Linked DNA regions of Coturnix japonica. The protein of the gene in region 2 interacts with the protein of the main gene of each other region in a pairwise test. Links are inferred from orthologs where the notes say so. Each region holds a gene or a part of one and is shown on either strand. Other genes may lie near its edges. The genes, in order: MRC2, NDEL1, MIS18A, KALRN, CCSER1, DIXDC1 and CCDC88A.

The links.
Region 1: the proteins of NDEL1 (region 2) and MRC2 interact in a two-hybrid assay, tested with the Homo sapiens proteins (2 studies listed by BioGRID and IntAct). The link is inferred for Coturnix japonica from reciprocal best matches to the Homo sapiens genes NDEL1 and MRC2.
Region 3: the proteins of NDEL1 (region 2) and MIS18A interact in binary tests that used the Homo sapiens proteins (3 or more experiments, as listed by UniProt). The link is inferred for Coturnix japonica from reciprocal best matches to the Homo sapiens genes NDEL1 and MIS18A.
Region 4: the proteins of NDEL1 (region 2) and KALRN interact in a two-hybrid assay, tested with the Homo sapiens proteins (2 studies listed by BioGRID and IntAct). The link is inferred for Coturnix japonica from reciprocal best matches to the Homo sapiens genes NDEL1 and KALRN.
Region 5: the proteins of NDEL1 (region 2) and CCSER1 interact in binary tests that used the Homo sapiens proteins (3 or more experiments, as listed by UniProt). The link is inferred for Coturnix japonica from reciprocal best matches to the Homo sapiens genes NDEL1 and CCSER1.
Region 6: the proteins of NDEL1 (region 2) and DIXDC1 interact in binary tests that used the Homo sapiens proteins (3 or more experiments, as listed by UniProt). The link is inferred for Coturnix japonica from reciprocal best matches to the Homo sapiens genes NDEL1 and DIXDC1.
Region 7: the proteins of NDEL1 (region 2) and CCDC88A interact in a two-hybrid assay, tested with the Homo sapiens proteins (2 studies listed by BioGRID and IntAct). The link is inferred for Coturnix japonica from reciprocal best matches to the Homo sapiens genes NDEL1 and CCDC88A.

What each region holds. Positions count from the first base shown.
Region 1 is NC_029542.1:1,913,938-1,917,585, reverse strand, and holds part of MRC2 (C-type mannose receptor 2), read right to left. Parts: intron 3,157-3,648; coding exon 2,758-3,156; intron 1,740-2,757; coding exon 1,566-1,739; intron 1,417-1,565; coding exon 1,252-1,416; intron 1,102-1,251; coding exon 988-1,101; intron 471-987; coding exon 327-470; intron 1-326. UniProt on the Homo sapiens protein: May play a role as endocytotic lectin receptor displaying calcium-dependent lectin activity. Internalizes glycosylated ligands from the extracellular space for release in an endosomal compartment via clathrin-mediated endocytosis.
Region 2 is NC_029533.1:1,504,143-1,507,790, forward strand, and holds part of NDEL1 (nuclear distribution protein nudE-like 1), read left to right. Parts: intron 1-508; coding exon 509-682; intron 683-1,448; coding exon 1,449-1,540; intron 1,541-3,181; coding exon 3,182-3,333; coding exon of another isoform or gene 3,334-3,337; exon of another isoform or gene 3,338-3,341; intron 3,342-3,648. UniProt on the Homo sapiens protein: Required for organization of the cellular microtubule array and microtubule anchoring at the centrosome. May regulate microtubule organization at least in part by targeting the microtubule severing protein KATNA1 to the centrosome.
Region 3 is NC_029516.1:94,345,438-94,349,572, reverse strand, and holds MIS18A (protein Mis18-alpha), read left to right. Parts: upstream 1-1,287; 5' UTR 1,288-1,365; coding exon 1,366-1,615; intron 1,616-1,690; coding exon 1,691-1,757; intron 1,758-1,854; coding exon 1,855-1,977; intron 1,978-3,000; coding exon 3,001-3,094; intron 3,095-3,190; coding exon 3,191-3,271; 3' UTR 3,272-3,862; downstream 3,863-4,135. Other genes in the region: MRAP (melanocortin-2 receptor accessory protein), read right to left, coding at 1-31. UniProt on the Homo sapiens protein: Required for recruitment of CENPA to centromeres and normal chromosome segregation during mitosis.
Region 4 is NC_029522.1:19,180,888-19,184,535, forward strand, and holds part of KALRN (kalirin), read right to left. Parts: intron 3,611-3,648; coding exon 3,446-3,610; intron 3,071-3,445; coding exon 2,992-3,070; intron 1,860-2,991; coding exon 1,659-1,859; intron 737-1,658; coding exon 598-736; intron 1-597. UniProt on the Homo sapiens protein: Promotes the exchange of GDP by GTP. Activates specific Rho GTPase family members, thereby inducing various signaling mechanisms that regulate neuronal shape, growth, and plasticity, through their effects on the actin cytoskeleton.
Region 5 is NC_029519.1:31,401,592-31,406,008, reverse strand, and holds the start of CCSER1 (serine-rich coiled-coil domain-containing protein 1), read right to left. Parts: upstream 2,876-4,417; 5' UTR 2,663-2,875; intron 1-2,662.
Region 6 is NC_029539.1:5,431,127-5,435,453, reverse strand, and holds the start of DIXDC1 (dixin), read left to right. Parts: upstream 1-1,493; coding exon 1,494-1,553; intron 1,554-4,327. UniProt on the Homo sapiens protein: Positive effector of the Wnt signaling pathway; activates WNT3A signaling via DVL2. Regulates JNK activation by AXIN1 and DVL2.
Region 7 is NC_029518.1:7,440,366-7,444,013, forward strand, and holds part of CCDC88A (girdin), read left to right. Parts: intron 1-1,221; coding exon 1,222-1,360; intron 1,361-1,980; coding exon 1,981-2,157; intron 2,158-2,697; coding exon 2,698-2,859; intron 2,860-3,648. UniProt on the Homo sapiens protein: Bifunctional modulator of guanine nucleotide-binding proteins (G proteins). Acts as a non-receptor guanine nucleotide exchange factor which binds to and activates guanine nucleotide-binding protein G(i) alpha subunits.

The DNA.
Region 1 (3,648 bases), on a different chromosome or scaffold from region 2:
ATTGGCAAGGTGCAAGCAGTGGTAACTTTAGAGCTCCAGGAAAATAAAATCTCTTCTGTTTGTACATCATCAATGCAATAGCAGAGCCCAGAGATCTGGGGAAGCACCAGGAATCTCCCATTTCTCCTGCTGCCTCTCCTGATGTCTGACCTGTGAGCATACAGAGCACTGAGGTGGTGCTGCTTTGCAGCCTTCCAAGTCGATGCCCACCCTGGTGCACCCTGATCACCTCCATGTGCTGCCAGTTGGGACCAGAGCTGGGGAATGGTGGGGAAGCTGGGATCCCACCTGCACCCATAACCTGGGGTTGCTCAGCCCCTACTCACCTGTCAGGAAGGGGTCAGTGGTGGCATTGGGCTTCTTCTTGCAGACATAGGGGAGGGCAATGCCGCAGTCACGGTTCTGCCACCCCCCAGAAGACTCAGTGCGGATCACACCACAGTTCTCCTCGCTGGGGTTATCAGGCTGGTCTGGAAATGGATGGAAGGGGGACAGACTGCTGGGGGCTCACAGAGCAGGGCTAGCAGGACACAGCTCTCCTCGCCCCAGGAAGAGATGGATTGATTTTGTGGCACAGTAGGGATTATTTGTTGTGCCTCGATGCATGAGGACCTGGAGCATTGGATGAACTAGAAATGCCAGGTGGCAGTCAGTGGTTGTCCCCAGACCTCCTCCAGGGGTATATTTATCCCATGAGTGCCCTGGGGGTGATGACATCAGGCACAACCAGAGCATCCCCTGCAATGGGTCCTTCTGCCCAGTGAGCTAAGGGTTAGAGATGGAAGTGGGCAAATAATGCCACCAGTGTCCTCCACATCAGGCCATCGAGCTGCCCATCACTGGTATTCAGCAGCACTTGAAACAAGGATGCTCAGATCAGGGCACCTTGGCAGCCCAGGACACTTCTCCTGCCACCTTCCCAGAGCCACATCCTCTGCTCACAGCCCATCCCCTGACCCTGTCCCCCCCACACAGCCCCCAGCTCACCGCTCTCCCAGTTGAGGTATTTGAGTGGCGAGTTGTCAGACCATTGCCAGCCCCCATTGATGTCCAGGTCATTGAGCCCAATCCACAGCGTGGAGCTGTACCCAGTCAACAGCCCTGAGACCAAGGTAGAGAGAGGATCATCATCAGCCCTCCAGCTCCACGCACATCCCCAGCCCATAAACCAAGCCCAACTCAACCAGGACAGAGAGTGCAACCAGTTGACCCTGGTGTCACCAGTTCTGCCTGAGGGCCACCCTGCCTCACCATTGATGTAGGTCTGCTCATGGATCTCGGTGATGCTGAGCAGGTTGGCTCCTTGCTGCTCACAGCTGTTCCAAGCCTCCCGCCAGGACAGTGTAGACTGGAAATTGAACTGGTAACAGCTGTTGGTGAGATGGTCCTTGTCCCAAAAGGTCTCACAGTCATTGCCTATGGGGACAAGCAGTTGGCACCCAGCACATCCCACCCCAGCTCCAAAAATCCCCAAACCAAACCAATATCCCACCAAAGCCGGGCACTGAGCATCCACCAGGATGCCCCTGCATCCCATTGGGATGGGGCAAGCCACCCACACTTACTCTTTATGGGACAGAAGCCCCATCGCTCATCCTTGCCGTAGTCCTGGGTGGTGGCACACCAGAGGTGGCCGTCCTCCCGACCTGTGCTGGTGCACTCATGGAACCATTGGTTGTCGTACTTGAAGGGGATGGTGCAGGGCTTCCCATGTGAGTTGCCCTGGATGGTATAGATCTCTGCAAGAGAAGAGGGTCCCCCCATAAGACTGCAGCAAGGGGGAGCTGAGGTTGAGGTTTCTCCTGGTTTGGGGTCCAGAGGGTGCCTGGATGTCCTGGCTTTGTCTGGGATAGTTGATTTTCTCCTTACAAGCTGTGTTTTGGATTTAGGATGAAAATAATGTTGATAACACAGCCATGTTCTACTTGTTGCTCAACAGCACTTACACTGAGTCAAGGACATTTCAGCTCCTCACACTGCCCTGCCAGGGGGGAGCTGGGAGGGCACAGAACAAGGACAGCTGACCCACATTGGCCACAGGGACATCCCAGACCATACGATGTCATGTGGAATGATAAAACTGGAGGAGCTGGAAGGGGGGGGCTGTGGGAACTGGCTGAGCATCAGCTGGCTGGTGGTGAGCAATTGCCTTGTGCATTGCTTGTTCTGTTTATTCTTTTGGCTACTGTTGATTTTTTTCTTTTTCTTTCCCAATTTTTTCCTCCTTACGAAGCTGCCCTTATCTCAACTCACGACTTCTAACACTTTATTTTTCTCCCCATACCACTGCAGGGTTGGGGCAGAGAGCTGCATGGTGTTTAGCTTGGGACTGCTTTGGCCTAAGGGCTATCACTACTGTTAATGGCTCCTGGGTGTCTGCAAGGCATCAAGGCAATGAGGACAAAGAGAATCACAGAATCATTAAGGTTGGGAAAGATCTCTAAGCCCAACCACCAACCTCCCCTCCCATGCCCACTAAATCAAGTCCCTCAGTACCACTCCAGGGATGGTGACTGTACTGCTGTGCCAATACAGAACCACAGAATTATTAAGAATGGCAAAGAACACAAAGAGAAGGGAAGCCCCATTTGGAATACTGCATCCAGCCCCGAGGCCTGATCCAGTGGGGGGCAACCAGCCCACAGCAAGGGGTGGGACTTGTGGGGTCCTTGGGGTCCCTTCCAACCCAACCATGCTGCGATGCTATGTAGCATTATAGGAAGCAGATGGCGAGCCCGGCAAGTGACAAAGCCTTACCAGAGTAGGGCACAGAGCACAGATCCTCCTCAGTTCCGTATGTCCTCCACTGAGAGCTGCGTGCCTGGTCACCCCTATCCAGCGAGGTGTTGTTCGGTCGGGCTCCGAGGTGCTGTGAGAGCTGCTCCCCAAGACCACGGCAGCTCCAGCGCATGTTGATGGACTCACGATCGCACTCATAGGTGGCCAAAGGGTGCAGGCCAGAGGTGGCATTGCCCCCATGCCATGACACCCCCAGGCACTGCATGGCCCCCACGTTGAAGAGGCGGTTGCGTGAGACCCATTTCCACTGGTGGGCTGGGGAGCTGGCATTGCAGCCCTTGGCAAGCCGCACCAGAGAGTCCTTCGTCTCCAGGCAGCCCTGTGCACCCACGTTGTAGATGAGGAAGACTTTGGAGTCTGGGTTGTGAGAGGAGAAGAAGTGTGGAGAAAGAAAGGGTTAAAGTGCTGCCAGTGGTTGGCCTGGCATCATAGATCATAGAACCAACAAGGCTGGGAAAGACCTCCAAGATCACCCAGACCTGTCACCAGTATTTCCCTCTACACCATGTTCCTCAGTACAACATCTGAACGTCTCCTGAACACCTCCAGGGGCAGCAACTCCACCTCACTGAGCTGGCCAACCCTCCGTTAACATGGCCAACCCTACTTTGAGCTGGCCAACCCTTCCTTATGACAGAATCACCAAGGTTGGAAATGGCTTCCACGATGTCCCAAGTCCAACCATCCACCTACCACCAATATTTCCCACTACACTACATCCCTCAGTACAACATCTGAATGCTTCTTGAACATCCCCAGGGATGGTGTCTCCAACTCCCTGAGCTGGACAGCCCTACTTCAAGGTGGACAACCCTTCCTTGTCATAGAATCACCAAGGTTGGAAAAGAC
Region 2 (3,648 bases):
TCTTTTCCTGTCATTTGGGCTATGGAGCTCTTTAGTCTGCTTGTTCTCATTTTGATGAATCAAGAAACAGCATCCCTTCACAATATCTGGCTAGTGTGCGATCTTACAGATTATTAAACTGGAAGGGCAGTGTTGGATCCTAAGATCACAAGATCAGGTCATTAACGTGTTTCCTTAACCTCCCATCTGAATGCAGTTAGCAGGCATTCGTGACTGGCTGCATTTTTCTGCAACACACTTTCCATGGAACTCAAACTACAAGTAGGGAGGAATGCTGAGGCCAGGTCACCTGCCTCACTTTCTGGGTGTACACAGCTCTCTGGGCCAGTAGAATGTGGCTCTCTTTCCATCTGGCAGTGATGGTATTTAAGATAGAGTCTTTTGCTGCTGCAGAGAGCCAGCAACAGTGAATCACTGATTATTGCCAAGTATTCTCTTCTATATAAATGAACAGAATGCTGGAGAAGTCTGTCACTAATCCAATGTGTGTTTTATCTTGCACACTCAGACCTGCGGCAGGAGCTGGCAGTACGGGAAAGGCAGCAGGAAGTCACCCGCAAGTCTGCGCCGAGCTCTCCAACTCTAGACTGTGAAAAGATGGATTCAGCTGTCCAGGCTTCTCTCTCCTTGCCAGCTACACCTGTTGGAAAAGGATCTGAAAATAGTTTTCCTTCCCCAAAAGGTACAACTCCTGCAAACTGTGCCTGGTTGGTTGGGAGTACGTTCTGCTTGCCCAAAAATTACTAACAAGGGCCTGGTCTGAATCTGACTTGAAGTAAATACAGGGTACATGTGGATCCCTACATAGCATGTGCTGGAATACTGGAGCAGTGTCAGACCTGTTTAATGAGTATAATTAGTTAATACTATGGAAAAGAAAGAGTGAAGCTTAGCTACTGCTTTGTAGGGGGTGAGGATTGCACTCCGCAGTAGAGGACTGCAGTAGAATTTATTTGGGGTTGCAGAGAAATGCTGTGACTAATATTTCACTGGTGGGTAAATAGTGGGTAGCAGTGCTGACAGTCTGGGCTGTCTTTGTTACCATGTGCTTTCGGGGGTGCTGTTCTCTCAGGAAGCTGTGGGATATTAGCCTAGTCCTCTTCCCATCTGGAAGGCTCAGGTCAATCGCAAGGATTAAAACATTTATTTATTTATTTTAAATTAAAGTAGATTCCAGAGAAAGCTCTGGTTGGATTAGATAGATTGCAGGCAGTAGCTATGCAGATGGAGGGTGCATGAACTCTGCCTGGGTACCTAATGGGGAGGAGGGTATTGGGCAGGAATTAAGCTTTTTCTTCTCTCTATGGCCAGTGATTGTGCAGCCTGTGTTACTGTTGGTGCAAAGAGTCTGCAGTAAGATTTTAGATTTATCTCCATGTAAAAGTGATTAAAAATATACATTTAACAGTGGAGGAGTGACGTGTATAACAAAGTGTGTTTGTTTGCAGCTATACCAAATGGATTTGGTACAAGCCCTCTTACTCCTTCAGCTAGAATATCTGCACTCAACATCGTGGGAGATCTCTTACGGAAAGTGGGGGTGAGTGCTCTGTACTGAACTATCCCCAGTTCTGAACACACAGTGGTGTGTTCATCCACATATGGGATGAAAAGGCCTTGGCTTGTGCTGAATTAGTTTGTAAGGTGTCTCTCTTATTTAAGAGAGTCCACATTTGGTGTTTGGGATGTGATAACGCTTGTTTTTTAATAATCTTGATTGATGGAGCAGGTTGCTACGGTTCTGATGCCAACTTGTAGAGATAAAATCCTTATTTAGTGTAAAGACTTTTTTTGGTGCACGTTAGCAGATGCTTGTTCATATTTCACATGAAAGCAGGACTCAGAGCTGAGCCTCAGCCTTAGTACTCACTGCACAGTTGTGTTATATCATGGAAGGTGAGCTGATATCAGACCGCTGGAGTCTCTGAGGAGGTCTGCAGAGGTTACTGAGAACTTAAATGAGTTGTTTACATAAAGTAAAACAGCCCTTTGGTAAGAAAGTGAAAAAAGAAATCAGGGGAAAGCCAAGTGTTCCCATCTGTAGTTGATTGGGAAGTGAAATGTGTGAGCCTCTAAAGGGATTACAACTGTGAGCAGGGAAGAAGCGGTTTCGACATCTGTTGCAGTGTTGCTTAGCATGGCAAGCTTTCCAGCTGAATGAAGACATGAGTTATGAGAAGCTTGTTTACTTGCCTCCTTGGGTAGTGTTTGGAAGCATGGGCAGCCTTGGTGTCTAGCCTCCAGGGCTGGCTTTCCTCTATCCTGTGTGGTTAGCACTGAGAACAGAAATAGCTGACGTGAATATGGTTGTTTTAGCCAAATTTGACATTAAAAATCAGATCATTGCTTGTATTTGGAGCTGGTGAGCTCATCGAGGCTGGGTTGAAAGGGCAGCAGGACGGCTCAGGGTTACAGAGTGGCATGTTTAAAATGGGATCATTGTGAGTAAGAGTCTGTAGGGGATTTAGGGAGCTTAATGACATCCCATGTGATTGCTCTGTGAGGACAGGAAATGCCAAATAAGCATGCTTCTTTCCCAGCCTATTCTTAAACACACGCAGCCAGTAATGCAAAATTCCAGCTCATGCATTTATTTAGTAATAATTATAGGATGTGCAGGATTTCTCTGGGTTGCCTTACCTGTAGGATGCCTTGTCTTGTGCTTTGGGCTCCCTTTCTCTCCAAGATGTTCCCTTCAGCTTTCTGGCTGGCATGTGAGACAGCGAGCTACATGGCACAGCTCAAACCACAGGAGAGAATTGGGGTTTTGGTGTCCACCCTGCTAGGAGTCAGTGGATGAGGCAAGTCTCCTACCTTGTATAGGAGAAAAAGAACTGGTCGGGCTTGCTGGATGTAGTAGAAACGAAGTAGAAACCTTGGAGACAGGCTTAGCTGTCTTTGTTTCCCTCTTATGCTGTGTCTGTAGCACCTCTTCTAAAGCTTAGCGGGGTGGATCAGCAGAAGTTACTGAGCATCAGCATCTTATTACGTGGTTCTCATTTGAGAAAACAACAGCTTTGTTCCCATTTAGCTCAGTTTTTGCCAAAGATGATCGCAATGTGGGGTTCTGATCATAGTGATCTCTGGTCATGCTGAAGCTTGAACTGGAGCAGCAAAATATTTTCTCTGAAAGGAAATAAAATCCCTCTTTTCCCTCCTTCCACCTCTTTCCCTTTCACAGGCCTTAGAATCCAAATTAGCTGCTTGCAGGAATTTTGCAAAGGACCAGGCATCACGGAAATCCTACATTTCAGGGAATGCTAACAGCAGCATGATGAACAGCAATGGCACCAAGTACCCTCATCCAGGGCATACTTCTTTCTTTGACAAAGGGTAAGTAGGTATGTGTTTGTACACTGAGGGTGGTGGTGGGGGTGGTGTTTGGTGTTTTAGGATGCTGTGTGAAGCAGAAGTTTTCCTTGGCTTGCTTTTAGCCCACCACAGCTTTGTATCCAGTAAGACAAATAATCTGTGGAGCCAGGTTCTCAAGGGGACAGAGAAGCAGCATTCCACTGCGAGCTTCTGTAAAGCAAAGAGGAAAACAAGTGTTTGACCTCTCAGCTGGTGGGATGTCATTGCCTGTGCTGCCCCTCTGCTGCCTCAGCTCTTGGTGGCTGCATAAACCTTCTGGTGCAGTGATTCATGCCC
Region 3 (4,135 bases), on a different chromosome or scaffold from region 2:
AGTACTCAGATGAGTTTGTTCTGTTGGCCATGTCAGTAGTGCATTTTAAATCAGCTTCAACCAAGTACTTTTTTTCATTGTGCTTGAGCGCCCTCAGAAAGAGATTGCTTAACTGATGCCTATGTAAATCACTCTGGAGTCCTGTAGCTCAAGGACTGCCTTGGTACTAACTAATGTTGAGCAAAAATGAATATTAATGCCTGACAGATAAATAGTAGCAGCCTTTAAGCGTAACCCTTGCTTCCTGGTGGGCAGTTACATTATTCCTCAGCATATCAGAGCTGAGATGGATGCCAAGTAAGCTAAGAATGGGATGGACAAGTGCCAGATGTGTCACAAACCCTTCTCTCTGAGAGACAGCTGCAATGAAGTGTTCTCTGGAGCTACTGGAAACAGCCAGCTGGGCTGAAGGAAATCTCTTTCTATTCACATAAAGGAGGGGGCAAGTACCTGACAAAATGCATCATAGACAGAGGATGCAACAAAGCTGATGAAAAGTCTGGAGCATAAAATCATAACAGGGAGTAGCTGAAGGAGCTGGGATTGTTCAGTCTGGAGAACAGGATGTCAGGGGAGACCTCACAGCTCTCTACAACTATCTGAAGAGAAGCTGTGACAAGGTGGGAGACAGCCTCTTCTCCCAGGCAATGGTGATGAGAAGAAATGGCCTCAAGTTGCACCAGGGGAGGTTCAGGTTGGGTGTTAGGAAGGATTTCTTGTCAGCAAGAGCAGTGCTGCAGTGGCACAGGCTGCCCAGGGAGGTGGTGCAGTCACCGTCCCTGGAGGTGTTCAAGAGCCGTGTGGATGTGGCACTGAGGGACGTGGGCAGTGGGCATGGGGGCCACAACGTAGGTAGAGCCAGCTGAAGGCTTGAGGTGTTGGGCCGTGGCAGCATAGCAAGTGGTACCTAAACGTGCTTAACTGAGCTGAGCAGCAAGGACAGCAGGCCCTCAGCTGGCTTTTGGCTGCATCCCTAAAGCCTTCAGTGCGTGTGGTGGCTGGGGAAGCCAGGGCCGCATCCCATAGCGCACAACGCACCAGTTTGGCTAAAAACAACTTTGAAACCAACCAAAGCCACTTTCTCTCTGCCTTCTCAGTGCTACGTCACCCAAACACCTCCTAACACACTCCAGCAGGGGTTATGAAGGCACAGCACTGAGCTAGACCAGCGCTGACACACAACCCCACCTCCTACGTCTACGCTAGTAACGTAACCACGCTGTGGGCAGGGACATGTACTAATCCCCGCCCCTGCTACGCTAGTTGCGTATGTACGCTGTGGGGCGTAGCCACGCACCGAACCCCGCCTCATGGACGCGACGTATTCGGGCTGGTTCCGGTTCCGTCGTGGGCAGTTTGAAGGTGATGGCGGGCTTGTTGTATCCGCTGTCAGGTGGGGCGGTTGCGCTGGATTCGTCTCTGCCTCTGCTCGAGTCGACCATCCCTCGGGAGGCGCTGCCGATGGAGCGACCGCGGGCTAACGGGAAAGGGGAGGAAGAGGAAAACGACGAGAACCTGCCCATGGTGTTCCTGTGCGGCGGCTGCAAGCGGCCTGTGGGAGATACGCTGAGTTGGGTGGCCAACGATGAGGACGCGACGTGTATTCTGCTGCGCAGTGAGTGCTGCTCCCATCTGCCCTCTCCTGCATGACGGCTTTTGGGGGCCCTTGGTCAGTGTTGGCTCTGTGCAGGTGCCTCCAGCAACATCTCAGTGGACAAGGAGCAGAAGCTGTCCAAAAGGCCTGGAGAGTGTGGATGGTGAGCGCTCTTCAAACCACAGTCGATAAAATACATGTGTATGTACTTTTAATAGGCGAAGGGAGGAGTGATTTGCTCTCTTTGTTTTTTTTTAAAGCATGGTTGAAACGTTTTCCTGCTCTGGCTGCTCGAGGGCACTTGGCAGCATCTACAGATGCACCCCAAAGCATCTCGACTACAAGAGGGATTTGTTTTGTTTCAACGTTGGCTCAATTGAAAGGTAAAGACAGAATCTGCATTGCTGTCGGGTTAACCTCACCTTCCAGACACCATATCAAGGGATGCTGCTGCTAACAGTCTGAGCAAGTTCCCTATGGTAGTTAGGTTTTGAGTATCTCTGGAGGAGACTCTACAGCCCCTCTATGCTGTTCATTCTGGTAGTCTGCCACTCTCATGGTAAGAAGCTTTTTCTCATGTTTGTATGGAGCATCCTGTCTTCCAGTTTGTGCATCTTGCCCTCCTGATAGGGCCAGGCTCTTTTCAGTGGTGCCCAACTGCTTGGCTCTGCCCTTTAGATATTTATAAGCTTTAATAAGATCGGTTCCCTCAGAATTCTCTTCTCTAGGCTGAATAGTCTCAGGATCTCAGCCCTTCTGGTCTTAAACTGTTCTTTGATGTTTGAGGATGTTGTTAAGTCTCCACATTAGAGTTCTGTCCGAAGTTTATTTAAAAATCTCAATCTTCAGAGCCATCTTAAAGGTGGAAGATTTTAAGTATCCAGACTAGAGATCTTTTATCCAAGTGTTGTTATAGTACTAGTGATAAGCTACTGTTACTTCCATGTGGGCTAGTTTTACTGTTTCTACTTCTATGTGAAGTTCCAGCCTGTTCTGCTGAACATACATGGGTGTTTTCCTTCCTACTCTGAACAGTCTTTTCTTCTTTACACAGCTAAATACTTTGGTTTTTGATGACAGTAAAAGTCTCTGGAAGACTATGACAGGGCTACAGAGCAGCATTCTCTTGGAGTAGTGATGATGTCTAGTTCTCCCATCTAGTGCTACACTAATCTTAATATCTGAATGACATCTTGGTTGTTTAGAGCTCAAAGCTGTTGAAGTTTTACCGTACAGCTCATTTGCAAGATTGCTAAAAATAGGGTTGTGTTATTGTTGTTGCCAAAATAGTGCTTTGACTGTGCTGGTGCATTAATTGCGATCTTATCAAGAGTGGCGGATGAATCATACAAGTGTTCTTTTGCCTTCAGAATGAAAAGTGCATCATCTAAACTGTAGCATATCAGTTACATTCTAGGATCCTCAGAAAAGCAGGCTGTTACTGATGAGGAACCTTTAACTCTCGAAAGTCGAGTTGCCTTGGAAGAAGCACTAAAAAGGGTAACGCTTAATCTTGCATTGTTTTGATGACATCTATACTTGTTCTTTATATTGTACACCTGTTTCTAACCAGGTCTTTCCCCATTTACTTCACAGGCAAACACCATACTAAATGCTCTGGAGGCAAGGCTGGCTACTGTTGAATCAAGAATCGATTCTCTTCACAGTAATGCTTGAAAGAAAATCCTGCGTGTAAAATAACTGCTGGAGATTGATGTGTGTGAAACTGGGATCTGTGGGAATATTTTAAAAGCTGCTCGAAGATCTGAAAGATGTGGGCAGTAGGACAATGCCAGCTACTGAGTCTTTGTCACAGATGAGGAGTTCCCCTTTTGTCTTGAGAGAATACCCTGGGAAGAAAAAGACTTCTAAAAAACATTTCAGTCAATTTGTTGTTTATATAGAAATATTTATTTTTTTTTACCTTGGAAAGCAAAGGTCTTATCTCCTGGTTGTCCTGTATTTTAATATCTGCTGAACTGAAGGCTTCAAATGCATCAGCTACTATGGCTTCCTGTGCAGTACTGAGAGTCACGCGTGTAACAGCCTCAAAGAGGAGAAGAAACAAGGCTACTAGCAGCACACCTTTTAATCAAAGTTAGGTGCATATTTGAACAAAGAATTCAGTGCTGCTTAAGAAACTTCTGTCAATATTTCATTGTTAACATGTAGATCTTACTGTTATGGTTTTCTGTATGTATGTCTTCCTAGCATTGTGTTGTTTTTTTTTTAATCCCCAATAAATCAAAGTAAGTGGTAATCGTGTAAGGGAAAAATCTGATTTCTGTTTATTTACATACCATTGCCCGATGCTACTTAATTGCATCACTGCTAATTTTTAAGTAGTCTCCAGAAACTTGGAATGAATTTTCCCACTGTTCTTCCTACTGGTAACTACCATTTCTCTTGAGAGCTCTCTTATTTTTCACTCTCTCTTCTCTCTTTTTTTATCTACCATTTCGTTTTAAAGTAGCACGCAGTTTGGCACATTGCAGTTGTCTTGTAGTCTTTCCTGTTCAGGCAACTCAAACACTGTTATGT
Region 4 (3,648 bases), on a different chromosome or scaffold from region 2:
GATCAATGGAGTGTTGGTGGGTATGGCAACACAATGCCAAATCCAGGACATCGCAGTGCCTCCTGCCACATATACTAACAAAAGGAGGTACGAGCTGTGCTAATCTCACTGAGAACAATATTGCAGACTGCAGATATTCTTCTGAACCTCTCCCTAGGTGCATTTCCCACCTCTCAGGCTCTGCAGCACACGCAGTTTGCTGCTTTCCCCTCTCAGCCTTTACCACCTCCTGCTCTCCCACCCTCTCCTTCTCCCCACACTTACCATGTTGTGAGCCCAAGCCATGCCCTCGGGATGTATCTTATAACTCCCCTTCACTCAAAAGCTACTGACTCTCACCCTTCTCTCTCATTAAATCCCTCTTCCAGAAAGCCCTTGAGAACAAAGCAGTGAGTTAAGGAAATAGTGCATCTCTGAAGGAGAAAATAGACCCTGCAGGTTACTGAGTCCTTTCTCTGGTCAGCAGATCTGGAGGGTGGTGCTTGTCCATTCAGCATCACCTCTTGGGGCACAGACTTCACCTCCTTGCTGTGTGTGCAGCTGGGAACTCTATGTACCAGGACACCAAGTAATAGCATCATTCTCTTCTTTTCTTACCTTTATATCTAGATGAGCCACTCGGCAATTGTGAAGATACTGCAAGGCTTCCATTGTGTCTCTTATGTAGAAAGCTACTTTTTCCTCCATGAGTTCATCATGGTTCATAAGATAATCTAGGAGACGACCATCATCCATCCTACAAAGAAATCAAACCCCACACCTGAAAAGACCACATGACACCTGCAGGAACAGCTAATATTTGATAACAAAGCTGCAATGGAAACTTTGTGACCTAAAAGTGGAGGAAATCAAAATGAGAGATTTGATTAGGATTTAATGATATCACGAGGTAGAATGATTGATCCTTGATTAGTCCTCAGTTGTCATCCCCGGCCATTAATAAATCTAGTGACAAACTTTGACAATTTCAAAGTACACTAAGTCGCTTAAGGACAGATTCAATGGACAGAGGAGATACCTTTGAAAACAGATCCACTTATTTATCTGGGTTCATCTATTTATTTATAGAGATGGTTGAATAATGCAGGGAAAAAAACACTGATATTTCAGCTGCAGGTGGTGTGTTCTGTGGGAAACCTAACTCAATAAGAGTTTTCCACCTAGTCTTATTTATCAGTATAAATAAACAAGCAAAGAGCCCAAATATGTTTGATTGGATATACTGTCACAAAGAAGCAGTTTGGATTTGAGTTGCTATTTCTCCTTATAGGGACAAACATAGTCCCAATGCAGCTTTTTTTCCATCAAGAACTATTAGAACAATGTAGGCTCCAATCCAGCTGAAGTGCATTTGCTCAGATATAGGGAGCAGACTAAACTGCCCAAATAAACCTGATGCTGTGTGACAAACTAAGTGCCGATACAATTACTGAGCTTCTAGAATAGAAAGTTTTATTTGTACCCCTGGAATCTTATCTGCTGTAAACAAAAGGCAGTGGAAATTCAGCATAAAATGGCTCCTACATTTTGACATCAAAGTCAATAAGAAACAGATGACAAAGTCTTTGCCCTGATGAACCATGGGTGAATTTTATCCTTGGTTTTAATAGTGCTGTGATTCACACCCAGCTGAATGAATTGTAGCTCCATGTACTTACAGCTCCAGAACTAGGATGTAAGAAGTAGGAGACTCGTAAGTATCGTGGATAGTGATGTACTGAGGATGCTGTAAGTGCTGTAACAGAGCTGCCTCGTGGGCTGCTTGCTCCTTCTTCTTCATTTTTTTACTGATGAACTTTACAGCAACGTCTTTCCGGGTAGCTTTGTGAACACATTTCTTTACAATGGAGAATCGTCCCCTGGAAAGAAATAAAAGCAGAATAATGAATGGGATCCATGAATAAATCATGCCCGTTTTTTCAGTGCGATAGCAGACTGGTTTTCAAAGTGTTATTTGATTCAGTGCATTAACATTTCACAAGGAATCAGACTTATCTCGTTGTTCATAACCTTTTCCAACACTGAATTGCTGTCTCTCACCCTGGGTGTTTGGATTCCTTGGGGATTAGTAAACACGGAGAGCAAACAGAGCACTTTGTACAGCCCTGCTGATGTCCTCTAACAACACCCCTTGGGTTCAATTTGCTGCCTTTTTAACAGGTTCTGACTTTTTATTCCTAACCATGGATCTCTTCTCTCCAGTTGTTTGAATAATGAACCCAGACTTAAGACAACTAAGAGAAAAGCCTTGTTAAGCAATGGCTAAGCAATCATTTTCTCTTGCTGATTCAGGCATACAGTGAAAAATAGGGAGCAAGCAGCTGACACAAAGCACTTAGGAATATCATCCAGACTGGTGCTTGGTACCATTCCTGGAAGCAAGAGTACTTAACAAAGCCACAAGCTGCACTTGGCCCATTTTTAAGATATCACTATTCTTTGCCGGTCTTGCAGCCCCAGAAGCACTTATCCCCAATCTCTGGGTGTAGATGTGGCTGCCTTAACCCGCACTGTTTGCATGTCCCTTATCAGCACCATGCAGCTCTTGCTCACTGACTGCCCCACTCAGCATAGCCCATTGGAATGTGCTTTTAGTCTGTCACATGCCCAAGTACTTCTGCAAACAGCCTCCAAGGTTAAGCACACCCAGCACCAGCAAGCCAACATGACTTCAAAAGCTCACATTGAGCCAGGGATGTCAAAGCAGATACCAGAAGGCACTGCTGGATCTGGCTGCCCTGTCATTCAGAGGCTGGAGTTCAGTCATCCATGTTCCAGATGTAATGCTCAAATCACAACTGGTTTTGGGAGACAAGATGTAGTCAGCATTTTAACCAGTCTGTATTTCAATCAGTGCTTAGTGTGTTCTTTCTAAAAGGAGCAGCAATTTTCAAGCTTACTACAAAAAGCGACCTAAATTCCCCGTTAAAGAACAAGCCTCAAGCCATTGTTGTGGTATTTCGCTGCAGTGATAAGCAGGGTTAATATTACCTCCCAATCTCATGCAGCTCCGCGTAAGCAAGATCAAAGTTTTCCTTCCACGAAACTGTGGCACCATCAGCAGCAGAGTCTTTGGGAGAAGAAAAGCACATTGAAGAAAGTGTAAAGACACGGCAGACTGCTTTGTACCATAAACTGCACATTTAAAAGTTATGTGAAGATATGTTAATAGGTTGCTCAGAGAGCCCTGGAGGTGCTCAAGGCCATTTGGGGGGGGGTTGGGGACTGACCAGTGGTCTTTAAGGTCCCCTCCAACCCAACCATTCTGTGATTCTATGATGTGATGTGATTCTCCATTGTGTTTGACCACCAAAAACCAGAACTTCCCAGGGGAAGCTGTGGCTTTAAGTTGACTTTAAATTTGGCCTTGTAATTTTCTGGGGCTGAAAATGGACCACAGGGACAGTCCCAGGGCACATCTGTGTGCAACTGGGAGGCCACTCACCGTACTCTGGAAGCCTGACAAATTCAGATGGGTCACTGGGCAAGCTGATCCCCCAGGGGTTGCTGGCACTCACACGGAACTGATACTGGCAGCCTGGGGACAGGTCTTCAATGACAAGGTAAGTGTCCAGCGTGGAGGCCACTGACTGCTGCCAGACCTGCGAGCCTGCGTTGTGCAGAGGGAGGAAAGGAGAGGTGGTGGAG
Region 5 (4,417 bases), on a different chromosome or scaffold from region 2:
TCTTGGAGCCTGATAGACAACTTTCCATGAATCTTCATGGAAGAGCAGGAATTTGGCCAGATGAAGAAGACATCTCTTTTGTAATTTAGAAAACAATTCATCTAGCAACCCAAACCACTCCCAAATGTAAAGTTGCTCGTTGTCCAGCCACCTACTACAAATATTATTCGAAGCATTAGGTTTGAATCGGGAGAAATGTTAACTGTACGTGTGTAGTTTACGCAGCACAACTGTGCTTTCATGCAACCACACACTGAGACACACAGATACAAGATCTCACCTTTGCAGCACTTTAAGTGACTCACAGACTTAAGTACCAAACATTTTCTCTCCACATGACCCACACATGGTATGCACCTACCTATTGTCTCAGGTCATCTTGTATGACTCTACATCCATCCCTCCGCTCAGGCCTGCACCAAGCTCTCCCAAAGGTAGTAGGTGATGTGCACAAGCTATTCCAAAAAGTCCCACAAGGTGCACAGCCAAGGACTGCATTCTGTGGACTGACAGACCACTCAACTAAATCCTCCAAATAAGCAACCGGAGAAATTGCTGCAAGAATTCAGCATCTAACAGAAAATGGATCTGCTGCCATTAGTAAGAAAACTAAGCTCAGATCTTGTCTGCAACCTTTCCCAGTGGGGCTTGGTAAAATATCTCTATTTCTATCTACTTCTTTCTAAGAATGAAAAACAAACAAATAAATAAATGGCACAACCACAAGACAACCACCAAGAATGTCCTGGCAGTCTTTTAAGAAAACAAATGACAGCTGAACTACAAGGCAAACACAGCATAAATTAAAGCTTGTCCTATTGCTTTCTGTTTCCAAGTACTGAAGTACCAAGGTCCAGGCAGTCTTAACAAGAGCAGAGGATCTGTTTGCCTGCTATGTTCCCCAGCAGGTCTATACACTCATGTAAATACAAAGCAACTGAAAAGCTGGAAATGCATGTTAAGATGACAGGCCAAAACACTGCAGAGACCATAGCACTCCTGATTTCAGTGAGTAAATGAACTCCAAGTCGCAGAAAATATCCCTTGTTGACACAACACACCTTGACATAGCCTGGACAGCCACATTACCTTCCCCTGAGTTGTTCTCTGCTTAAGATACCAGAGAAGACCAACAACCTTAGACTGAAAAGTCAACCTCATGTCCCCAAGAGGGCTTTCTAAGACTAATCCTCTGAGTAATTTCAGGACTGAGTCAGCCTTTTGCATTCCATCTCTAAGACAGCATTCTTGAAATAGGCATTTTTTTTTCCTACTATTTCTGCAATAATACAGTTCTACAGTAGTCTCAGAAACTGAAGGTAAAACAAGCCCCAAGAGACAATCACCAATGCAAAAAAGGGTTTTGCATTATTATTACTTCTAGCTAGGCAAATACAAATCCTGTTGTCCTTTATATTAACTGCATTTGTACTACAGACTCATAGATCGAGAAGCTATACAAGAGCTCTCCTAAATGATTAAGAGCAATGTCTTACTATCTCAGCTTTTCCAGTTCATTAATATTTCACTTTTATATATTCATCAGCTGCTTTTACAACATGTTCCCTTCTCTCCTTCTTAAGTGTGAGCACAGAAAAGTGTTTGAAGTAACTCGTAGACCTCGCCTCACATCCCCACCTCCATGCCCCCAGAGAGTTTAACACTTCAAGTGCAATACATACCAGAGAGAAAAAACACATCTGGCACAGAAAAGGATAAAAAGAGATGTTGAGCCTCCCTTCTAGTTGCATTCAGCTATAAAGGTGTGCAATCAGAAAATAAAGCACGCTACAGTCTCTACACTGAGACGTTTACTGTCATCAGTCTCCAAGGCAAGAGGGAGACGCACAGTTCTGAGGGTTCTCTTCTCCGTGGAAAAACAGACCTGCCTTGCTCTTCAGAAGGAAGACTTGCCGCAACTTTCTTTGCCTTACAGAAACGTGAAAGGTCACCTCCTTCAGCCAGGAGAAAACGCGTAGAAATCAGCCAGAGAAAGCTCGGGATTTCCACAAACCCGGTCTATAATAGGCAGCACCACCACCATCTGCTCCACCTTCTGAGCGTGCCATGTGCTTTTGGAAAACACTGGCAGCGCCTTCGGCTCCTGCCCCCAGCCCAGCCCCGCGCCAATGCCGCACACGTTTCAGAACGCACTTCTCTTCCTGCCATCTCCACGGGTTCATCTTACATCCCTTCGTAAATAACAATAAACGAACAGCAAAACGCAACGCCCGAAACGAACGAGAGGAAAAAGGACCCGCCGTCCCCACTGACCCGCAGTCACGCCGCCGGCCCCTCCCGGGGACACCTGCGGGCACCGAGCCCTGCCCGCCCCGTCACAAAGCGGTTCGCACCGCTGCCTCCCCCCGCTCCGCCGCCCTCGCTAATCCCCAGCGCACCCGGGGCTCGGCGCGGGGGGCTGCGGCAGCGCCGATCCTCCCTCCGGCCGGGAGCCGCCCCGGCAGCGGGGAAAGACGGCGGACCCGGCACGGCTCGGCACGGCGGAGCGGTTGGGCCGCCCCGGGGCGACATCCTCCGCATCACCTCCGCACCTGGCACCGCGGAGCACCCACGCCCACCCGCCTCCCGAGCCTCGCACGGCTCCCCACGGCACCCCGCGGCCTGCGGTACCGCCCGGGGCAGGGCCGGGGACGCGCTATACCTGGCCGGGCTCCTCCGGCAGCCGGCGGGGACCGGAGACCCCGCTGCGGCGCCGCGGCCGCCGCCACCTCCCCGCCTGCGCGTCGCGGTTCACCGGGCGGCTTCCTGCGTCTCCTCTCGGCGCGGGATGAATAATCCGGCCGGGGTCAGGCAGTCACGCTGCGGCTGCGGGCTGTGTGTGCGGAGCGGCGGCGTGTGGGCAGAGAGCGAGCGGGCGGGGGCGGGCCGGGGCGGTGCTTCCGCGTGTGTGTCGGCGCGGGGCGGTGCGCGGGCGCTGGGTGGCGGCTGTCCCCGCGCGTGGCGTGGGCGTGTGGTCGCCGCGTCCCTGCGTGCCCCCCGCAGCTTGAAGCACGGAGGGGAATGCGCCTCGAGGGGAAAGCACGAGCCCTTCAGGCTCAGTTCGGCCCTGCCCCGGTGTACTGACGCTCACCATCTGCTCGAGGGTTTGATTTTATTTTCTGCCGCACGGCAATCTGATTTCACTTCCTCATCCTCTCCTGTGATGCATGTGTTGGGATTATTTCTCAGTGCAGCTTGCCTATCACCACCTAGGAGCATCACGGTGCTTGATTAATGGAACGAGGAAAGAGCAATGAGAAAGTAGCAGCCATATGACAGGGAAGGTCTCATCTGCATCAACACAGCAATCGTGCACCTGGAAAACTGGAGTCGAGGCAGCAGTTACGCAGCATTTCGTGCCCCTGTTCCATTCAGAAAGAAGTGGTAAAACAGAGGAACTGTTATTGATAGGTTAAGAGGTAATGGCCTCAAGTTGGGCCAGGAGAGGTTCAGGCTGGGTATTAGGAAAAGCTTCTTCTCAGAAAGAGTGGTTGGGCACTGGAATGGGCTGCCCAGGGGGATGGAGTTGTACAGAAAGCATGAAAATGTGGCCCTGAGGGACACAGCTGAGTGGACATGGTGGTGTTGAGTTGATGGTTGGGCTAGGCAGTCTTAAAGGCCTTTCCCAACCTTAATGATTTTATTATTTTAATCTTTAAGAAATATAATTGAGTTTTCATAATATGTTTGTCTTGATAGTTTATACAGCATCATCAGAAGCAACCATTCATTTTTATATGTAAGTGACAATCAGTCAAACATATTTACTACTCTGTTCTGTGATATGCAACAACAAAACCTAGAGGTGTTTCCATTTATTCCTGGGCCAGATAATAAACCTAAAGCAGATCAAGTGTTCTGTGCTCACAGGGGAACAGCAGGGGTATGCTGCACACTGTGATGCTACATGAACAGAAACAGGTTTTTTCATAACCCATCACCCCCATTTAAAAATGTCAAAAATCTCATGAGACACAACTTCACGAGTAGGTGATCATCATTCACAATTCTGATAGTCATAATTTGGGAATTTCAAACAAGACTGCATTGTAGCTGAATAGTGTTACTGAGTGTTCACAATCCAGCCAAGCATGCAGGCAGCTCTATGCACGAGTCGTCTCAGTGAATTCTAAGACTTGCTATAATTGAAATGAAATACCTGCTTAGCCATTTTATGAAGCTTAGACAGCCTTGAAGCCAAAGGCAGAGAAATCTGGGTTTTGCTGAATCAGGGTTCTCCCAAGAGCCTTGCATGATTTCTCAACTCCATCTCTTATCCTTCATTTTCCTTGCATTCAGCAGGAGATACTCACAGCCTCCTAATAGTTAACCCCATCTCTCCAACACGTTTGTATTACCTCTACTGCCTGCTGCTGCCCCAAAAGGTGAACCACGTGATTAAGCAGCACTTCCAGAC
Region 6 (4,327 bases), on a different chromosome or scaffold from region 2:
GTTCACAGAAAAGGCTCAAATTAGTTTTGTTTTTCAAACAAAGTCATCTGCTGACGGAGGACCCTTTCATTCAAGTTTTCCATGAAATGTCATTGAAATTGCAAGGCACAACCTACTTGTCTGCGCTGTACAAAATGGGGAGAAATATTTACTGTCATCTGGTTAATGGTATTATGAGTCATTTTGAGTCTCAAGAGCAAATTGGATCAAGGTGCTAACCACCAGCATTGCCTCCTTGCAAGATTTTTTGCAAGGATTCATGATATTGTATTGTTTTGCTTAACAGATCGGACATAGCAATTAAAGAAAACAAAAGTCTCAGTTCCTACTGAGTTTGGAAAAAATAAATAGGAATCACAAACAGGAATATATTTAAAACTCATGTCACAAGTGGAAAGTGATTCATTTTTTAATTAGTTGTCTTGGTTGTAGAAGGAAATCAGCTGTTATTTGTCTTTCTGTATTTTACCTGCATCTTCCATATCTGATGGAGAAAACACTAGCATGGTAAATTTATGCAGTGACTTTTTCCTCCAGAGCCTTCAATACTTAGGCAGAAAAACATGTTTGTTTCTACCCTTAGATATGGTTGGCCAGGTATTCAAAACTGTGAAGGCACAGTGTATTGCTGGGCAGGGTTTGATGTGCTGCCCATGAGGACTGGCAGGCAGCCCCTGGCAGGAGGTTCTCCATGGGTTCTTTCTTTTTTCAGGGCACTTCTTCTAATGTGAGATGAAGTTTGGGAGATTGCCTGAAGATATTTAATACGTTTTTGTTTTGTTTTGTTTTGTTTTTTTCTGGAATGAACGTTGTTACTGTTGATTTAGAAACATTGCTGGGGATTGTATTTCATTCTAATTTAAAGTTTTCTTCCTTATTTCTTCTTTCATCTTCATTTGCACAGCAGCTAGAGTGGAGGTCAGCACTGTGCAGATGCTATTTGCTGTGTTGTGGCCTCTTCTGCAGCTTCCTGTCTCTACAGGGTTGCTAAAAATGGTGCCATTTCTTCGGGGCTGTGGAGTTTAAGTTGGCCAGCTCTTACAGTCTTTTGCTTTCTAGCTAAGCAAGACATCCGCTATTTGCTGACTCGCTCCCTGCCCCCACTCCAGACAGGGCTGTCTGTGTTTGGTGGGTTTGAAAACCTCTTTTCCGCAGCAGGTTTCATGTGAGTACAACTGCTGGAAATAGGTTTCAGATGTTTCCCTAACTCAGCGTTTGGGCTGCATCTCGTAAGCTGAGGCGTTTCTATAGGAACCGTATGACATCTCTCCACTGCTCCCCCAGCAGCTCTCTCGTGAGCATGCCCAGTGCAAGCCTTGACTTCGGCTCAACTATCTGCGTGCACTAACGGGCTGCACATATGGGATATGAATGCGGTTCCTGATGAGCTCCAACTCTTTGTCTTTGGGAGGAGGAGGAAGAGGCTGTGCCCAGAGCTGGAGGATCTGCCAAACGCCCTCTGAGACCCTCACCCCTCAGTGGGCTCGAGGAGAATGCTTGCCTGTTTGGCCAGGGGGAATTTACTGGATATTCTGCAGGAGGGCTTCACAGAGGTAAATGCATGCATCCAAATCGCATGTGAGCTTTTCCAGGGTGAGGCATTGTGCTTTTCTGCAGCGTTTCTTAGGAACCGATGTGTCTCCTAGTGTTTTGTGGAGAAGAAAAGGAGAAAAATGAGCAAGATTTTGTGGCCAGGGAGCAGGGAGAGCTGTTTACTAACAGGAGGCAATATGGGGCAGCTCCACGGGGGGGGCTGCAAACCAGTAGTTCTAAAAAGTTTGTGGCTGGATTACAGCTGATGATTTTAACTTGGAATTTTTATTTTCTCTATATAGCTTTTACATTTGTACAAGAAAATAATATAAATTGCGACGAGTTATGGAGAATGGCTTATTTTATGGAATGGATTCCTTTCTTGAGTACGTGAGGTCTGTGTATCTGATGGCTGTTAGAAAGCCTGTAAACACACAGCTTTTGGGAGAAGCTGACAATGAGCATGGTGTCTTTTTGTTTCCCATCGTCTTCAGTAGGTTGAATTTCAGAGGGATCAAAATTCACCTGGCTCTCGAAAATGCTGCTTTTAAAGTGCTCTTTTTTTCATTATTGTAGCATTGGGGGGACAGATAAATCAGACGGAGTGAGAACTAACAAGAAATTCCAGAGCTGGGAATCCTGTGACTGCAGCGGGAAGGCAGGTCACTGTTGAATTCCCAGTTCAGGGAGCACAAGAAGTTGGTTTGGTTGGACTCTGTGTGCACTCAGTACAGAATGCCTGGGTAGCTGCTACCTGGCTGCACTCCTTATGCAGACTGTGCTGGAGCACCATTAGCTGCCAGTAGGCTGAGGAGGAAGGACTATTGTGAGGGCTCACGATGAAAGCAAACAGTGGCTGCTTTGTCCATTCTCACATGGTGGCAGGGATGGTCTCTTGGTGTGTTTTTATTATTTTATGTTTTGTTTGTGTTTCCTGGTTCTTTTCATCCCTTCATGGCCCAGACACCACCTGTCTGTTCCACTCCCATGCTCCATTCTTTGCAGAAAACACACATCCATCCTGGACTTAACACCACCGGTCATTAAGGGGAAAGCAAACTGGGTATGAAGTGTGAGCCTCACAGCTTCATGCCAGCCACAGGTCTCCTCTGATTGCTTTGACTGACCGTATAAATACTCCGTCCCCTCCACCACAGAGTATCTCAGTCTTGCTTTTAGCTAGTAGCGTAGCTAGTAGCTTTAGTTTAAGCTGTGGAGGCTTCCTGTTCTCGAGAGCAGCTGATCTTTCCCTGGTGTAAGCTAATTGTAATCTGTATATTAATAAGAGCAAAGAACAACTTTATGTTCAGTGCTAGTTCCACTCAGAGCATCTGGTTTTACCCTTAGGCTGCTCAGCTGTGGAAAAAAGTCCTTCTACCCCCATAAAAACTGACCTTCACTCTCCTGTCAGACTTCATTTCACACAATGAACTGAGGTATTGCAGGAACTGCTTTGCTAACCCAGGGCCTGCTGTTCTTTTGATAGAGCATCCTTTCTGCCCAGGTGACTCTTGGTGACTAGATACCTTGGAATACAAGGATGTACTTTCCAAATCTGCGCAGAGGAGATTAACATAAACGAGTGTCATACTTCTTAAGCAGTGATTTTCAAGAGGAAAAAAAAAAAGAAAAGCATCTTCTGCTGGCTTTGAGAGAAACATTGTTTTCTTTGCATTAAAGTTTTTATAGTCTGCTTCTACAAAGGCCTCCCACACAAAAGCAAAAGAAACCTCAAACTTGAGGGGCACAGGGTGGCAAATTACAGAGCTTATTTAATTAAGGTAATAATGTCAGAAAGCATAGAAATTACACAAGGCCTTAAAATTACATCCTGATGCAATTAGTCTGTTCTTTGAACTCTGTTGTTGCTGACTTTTGGTTCAGTGCTCTAAACAGACAGGACACTAAACACCTTTCGTACTGAGACCATACTTGTAGCACAAGGCCTATTATTTTTGACCTTGTTAGAGCTGGTGTTTGGGTAACATCCACCAGGCTATGAAGAAAAAAACAGAGTGAAGATTACAAGGCAGAGTCCCTAAATCCAACAATAAGAATAGATTCGTTTTCATCAACTGTGTGTGTGCAGAAAAGATGAATTCTCTTCTAGAACTTGGGAGTCTAACATGACAGCAAGGATGTCAGGCCCTTTAAAAGCACCTACCAACTACAGAATGACTTTGCCAAGAAATATGTGGACAGCTTCAAAAACTGCAATCCCCTAATCTCAGAGGAGGTGAAAATTTAACGTGATACAGTGCCACATAGATGGCACTGAAAGTAAAAGACAGAGTAGCATATCAAAGCACCCTGATCTACCTATATTTACTGTAGTGCAGACTGTGCTGATGCATGGTTGAAAGAAACATGAGCCCTAAGCAGCAGGTGGTGAATTGCGCTGCTTAAATGAGAACAGCATAGAGATCTAGAACTGGCAGATTTGAAGCAGAATTGCTACTTTTCTTACACCTGTGGAAAATGTCAGGTAATGGCTTTTAATTATAATTATCTGTAGGGGCTCACAGAACATGAGATAAAGTGCTGACCCTGAAGACACCATTATCATGGGCTGTGGAGAGAAAGCACGAAGTTGCTCCTCAGAAGAATGCTTTCCAATAGGCGGGAGGTCCAAGACCCTTCTTCAGAGTATGTGCTAGTAAAATGCTGTAAAATGAAATCCTGCACTGCAAAGTGTATTTACTAAAGAACCTGTAATTTGCTAACAAAAGTACCTTTATGTTGTTGAACTCCTTACAACTGCAGATGGCCCTTAGTGCCCAGCTTTCAAATCCTC
Region 7 (3,648 bases), on a different chromosome or scaffold from region 2:
CATTGAATTCTTTCCCTCTTTACTTTGTCTTACCTCCCAAATGACAGCTGTCTTTAGGTAAACATTTGTAGATTCAGACCTTGAATCTGAAATACCCGTGTCAGTGAGAACAGAAATTTGTACCATTTCTTGTTCAGTATTCAAAGGGATGCCAGGGATTGAGTCTCTGTTAATAGTCTTTTTCCTTCTTTTTCTATGTAAGTGTATAACTTTCTAGTAATAGAACTTATTTGTAGCTGAATGCATGCTTCAGCTCGCAAAGATGAAATGCTATCAGTTCTACTTTTTCATAAACTGCCTGTTTCTTGTACCTTAGAATCTAGAATTCTCATCCTACTATATAATGTTTTTGGACAGCTTTCTACTTACTAATTCTCTGCCCATTGGTCTTCTGCTCCAGTTCCTGATTAGATCTAATGCTGTTGTCAATTGAGGAGTCTCTTGCAATTCTCTTCAATCTGAGTTATTTTTCAGCAGTTGAGATTAAGAAGGAAAGAGTTTATGGCTGCTTCTATTTTATCCTACAGCTGGCAAAAGCGGGATGTCTTCCAAATTCTGAACACATGTACAGTGACAGCAGCTGAAAACTGATTTGAGTGTAGCCTTCTAAAATCCTATTTTCTAAAAGGTCTAATAATGTATTAGAATATCCTGCACTGACAGTTTCAGGAAATACTGTTATAAAGCAATATATCTTAAATCTGGTCACTTCTCTCCAAAATATGTGATTGTTTCTTTAGGTGCCCTACAATATTATAAATATACCAAAAAAAGAAAACCCCAAAGGCCTCTTCACATGTCAGGAGTGGTAACAGTCTTAAAATAGCAGCAGCTGGGCTGAGTGAGCAATTCACACACTCATGCATCAAATGAGTATGCACCTGCAAAGAACCGTTCTTATCCCTAATGCCTCCTCTATTGGAGCAGGCAGGAAATGGGAATTGATGAAAATCTTGCTCTCCAAATACTTCACATTTGAATTTAGTTGCAGTCCCTGCTGGATTTGCTGGAGTGCAGCCAGAAAGGAGGGTGCTGTCAGCACACCCGCACACTAATTCTCCCAGTAGTCAGTGCCCTACTGTTGTGGCTGAGTATTGCTTATGTGTATCTGTTGCCCTTGAGCCTGCTGCTTCAGAATGTCGTGAACATTTAAAGAACCTGAAGTAATTGTTGAAATAAAAGCATATATATGGTTTTTTTTGGTGGCATGCTTTTGAATAGGTACAAACTTTTGGAGTCAAAATTGGAATCCACTCTTAAGAAATCTCTTGAGATAAAAGAAGAAAAAATTGCTGCTTTGGAGGCTCGTTTAGAAGAATCAACAAATTTAAACCAGCAGCTCCGTCAGGAACTTAAAACAGTAAGGAGAATGTCTTCTTTTGCGTAAGGTTAAATGAATCATATTCCAGCTACTGTTGTTGTTTCTTACTCTGTGCTTGGTATTTTTGTTTAAGACAGCAAAAAAGATGAGTAACCTTGGGGTAGCCTAAAGCAGGGCAAAGGTGTAATTGCTTTTTAAAGCTACAATAATACAGGTCCAGAATTGAAATCACATGAAAAGAAGTTGAAGATCATTGAATATGTCAGTTAGATAAATATTCTGAGGTCTGTTTGACTTGGGATGCCAAAAAAAGTTAATTCTTGTTAAGTTACTTTTCCTGAACTACTTTGAGCCTGAATGGCTAATCAAAAAAAGAAATAGTCTCTTTGGTTGTTGGACTTCATTATGAAAGCTGAGAGATACAACTGAAAGCTCTAAAATAAAGTCTCCTTTTGGTTTGTAGTCATATTTGTCGGCTTATTATGGTTGAGCTATCAGTATCCATACATCATTTTTGCAGTATCTCATCAAATGTACACAGAAATACAGAGATATAGAGCATTTTTTGTACTCTGGAAAGTGGTACGGTTGTATAATAATATATGATATAGGAAATGGAAAACTGTAAACTGAATGCAAATTGTCCTAAATAATTTCAGGTGAAAAAGAACTATGAAGCTCTCAAACAAAGACAAGAAGAGGAAAGAATGGTTCAGAATCCTCCTCCAAGAAAGGGAGAAGAAAATCAGTCAGTCAATAAGTGGGAGAAAGAAACCCAGGAAACTACTAGAGAGTTACTGAAAGTTAAAGATAGATTAATTGAAGTGGAAAGGAATGTAAGATGTGCTTTTTCTGCTGTTCTCATTTGAAATGTTTGTCTTGAGCTGTTCTAGTAATTTGAATAAGGATATTCTTAAAGAAATGTGCTATTTATCACCTAATTTACAGAATCTGTGTTGTATTTCTTAGCACAGCTGGGTCTTGTGATGCTATAAAGCACTTGACAGGCATTTAAAAGGGGAAAAAAAATGTATATCTGAATTTTTCCCTTTTGAATCCCACAAATCACTCATATAATCTTTATATACACGTCATTGAGAGTTCCTTACTGTTTCTCCATTGGTAAAATAACAGCCATTATTTCAATCTTCAACTGTAGCGATATCATTGTATGTTACTTTTGTAATATAAGGTGATACGGTTTTATTCCACTCTGTAAATATCTGTGAATGTTGTAAATCTCTTCCTTGCTGCCAAAGTACAAAGGATCATAGTAGTGTAAATCACGCTGCTTTATTTGCTTTAGAGGAAGTGCTGTTTCTAAAGTTCCATAAAAACCTGTGAACTCAAAGTTTCTTTTGTGTTGTTGCTCAAAGAATGCTACGCTCCAAGCAGAGAAGCAAGCACTGAAAACACAATTAAAGCAGCTGGAGACACAGAATAACAATCTTCAGGCTCAGATTCTTGCACTTCAGAGGCAGACTGTCTGTCTACAGGAGCAAAACACAACTCTACAGACCCAAAATGCAAAGCTTCAGGTAATATTTTCGTATTTTCTTTTTAAAAATAAATTCAATTCTGAGTTGTTTTTTTTTTTTAAGCTAATGGCAACAATGTAAGTCATGTTTTGATTCTGGTGTACATATGGAAGAGAAAGGAATGTGCAAATAATATGCACTAAGCACAATCAAATGATATTTAGTGATGATGGAGAACAAACTTTCTAGGAGTTGCTTTTATTACCTTGTGTTTCTCCTATTTAAACTTGTGGCTTTATAATCAGGCGTAGAGTAGGTTCTCTTAATCTGCCTTTTAATATATATATATATAATTTAATTTATTATTATTTCTTTTTTAATTCTAAATTAGGTCAAGGAAGTAGATGGTGTGTCCACAGAGACTACTAAGTTATTCTATTTTTATAGCTGGAATTTAAAAATAAATAAATAATCATACCTAAAAGAAAAAGCAAGGTGTTACTTATCAAATACATGGTTTGGGGCTTTTTTTTCCCCTCTGATAAATAAAATACGCTTCTTAATGGATTGAGTATGTTTTGGAGCTCTAAAAATCAAAACTACTTGATGACAAATTTAATATAAAGTCTGCAGTTCAGCACAGATAGATGCCGAAAAGTGATGAAAAGTGGGCAGAAATCAATGAGTGAAGGAATCCTTAGGTGTGTGAACAAATAATGTATTTTGTGAATGCCTTGAGTCATCTTTCTGTCTTCTGCTGTTGCACCCCGGATGCACTTTCCATCTACCACACTGAAATCTAATTAGCGCACAGTGCTCCCCATTGTGGCAGGCAAGAGTGTGTACAAA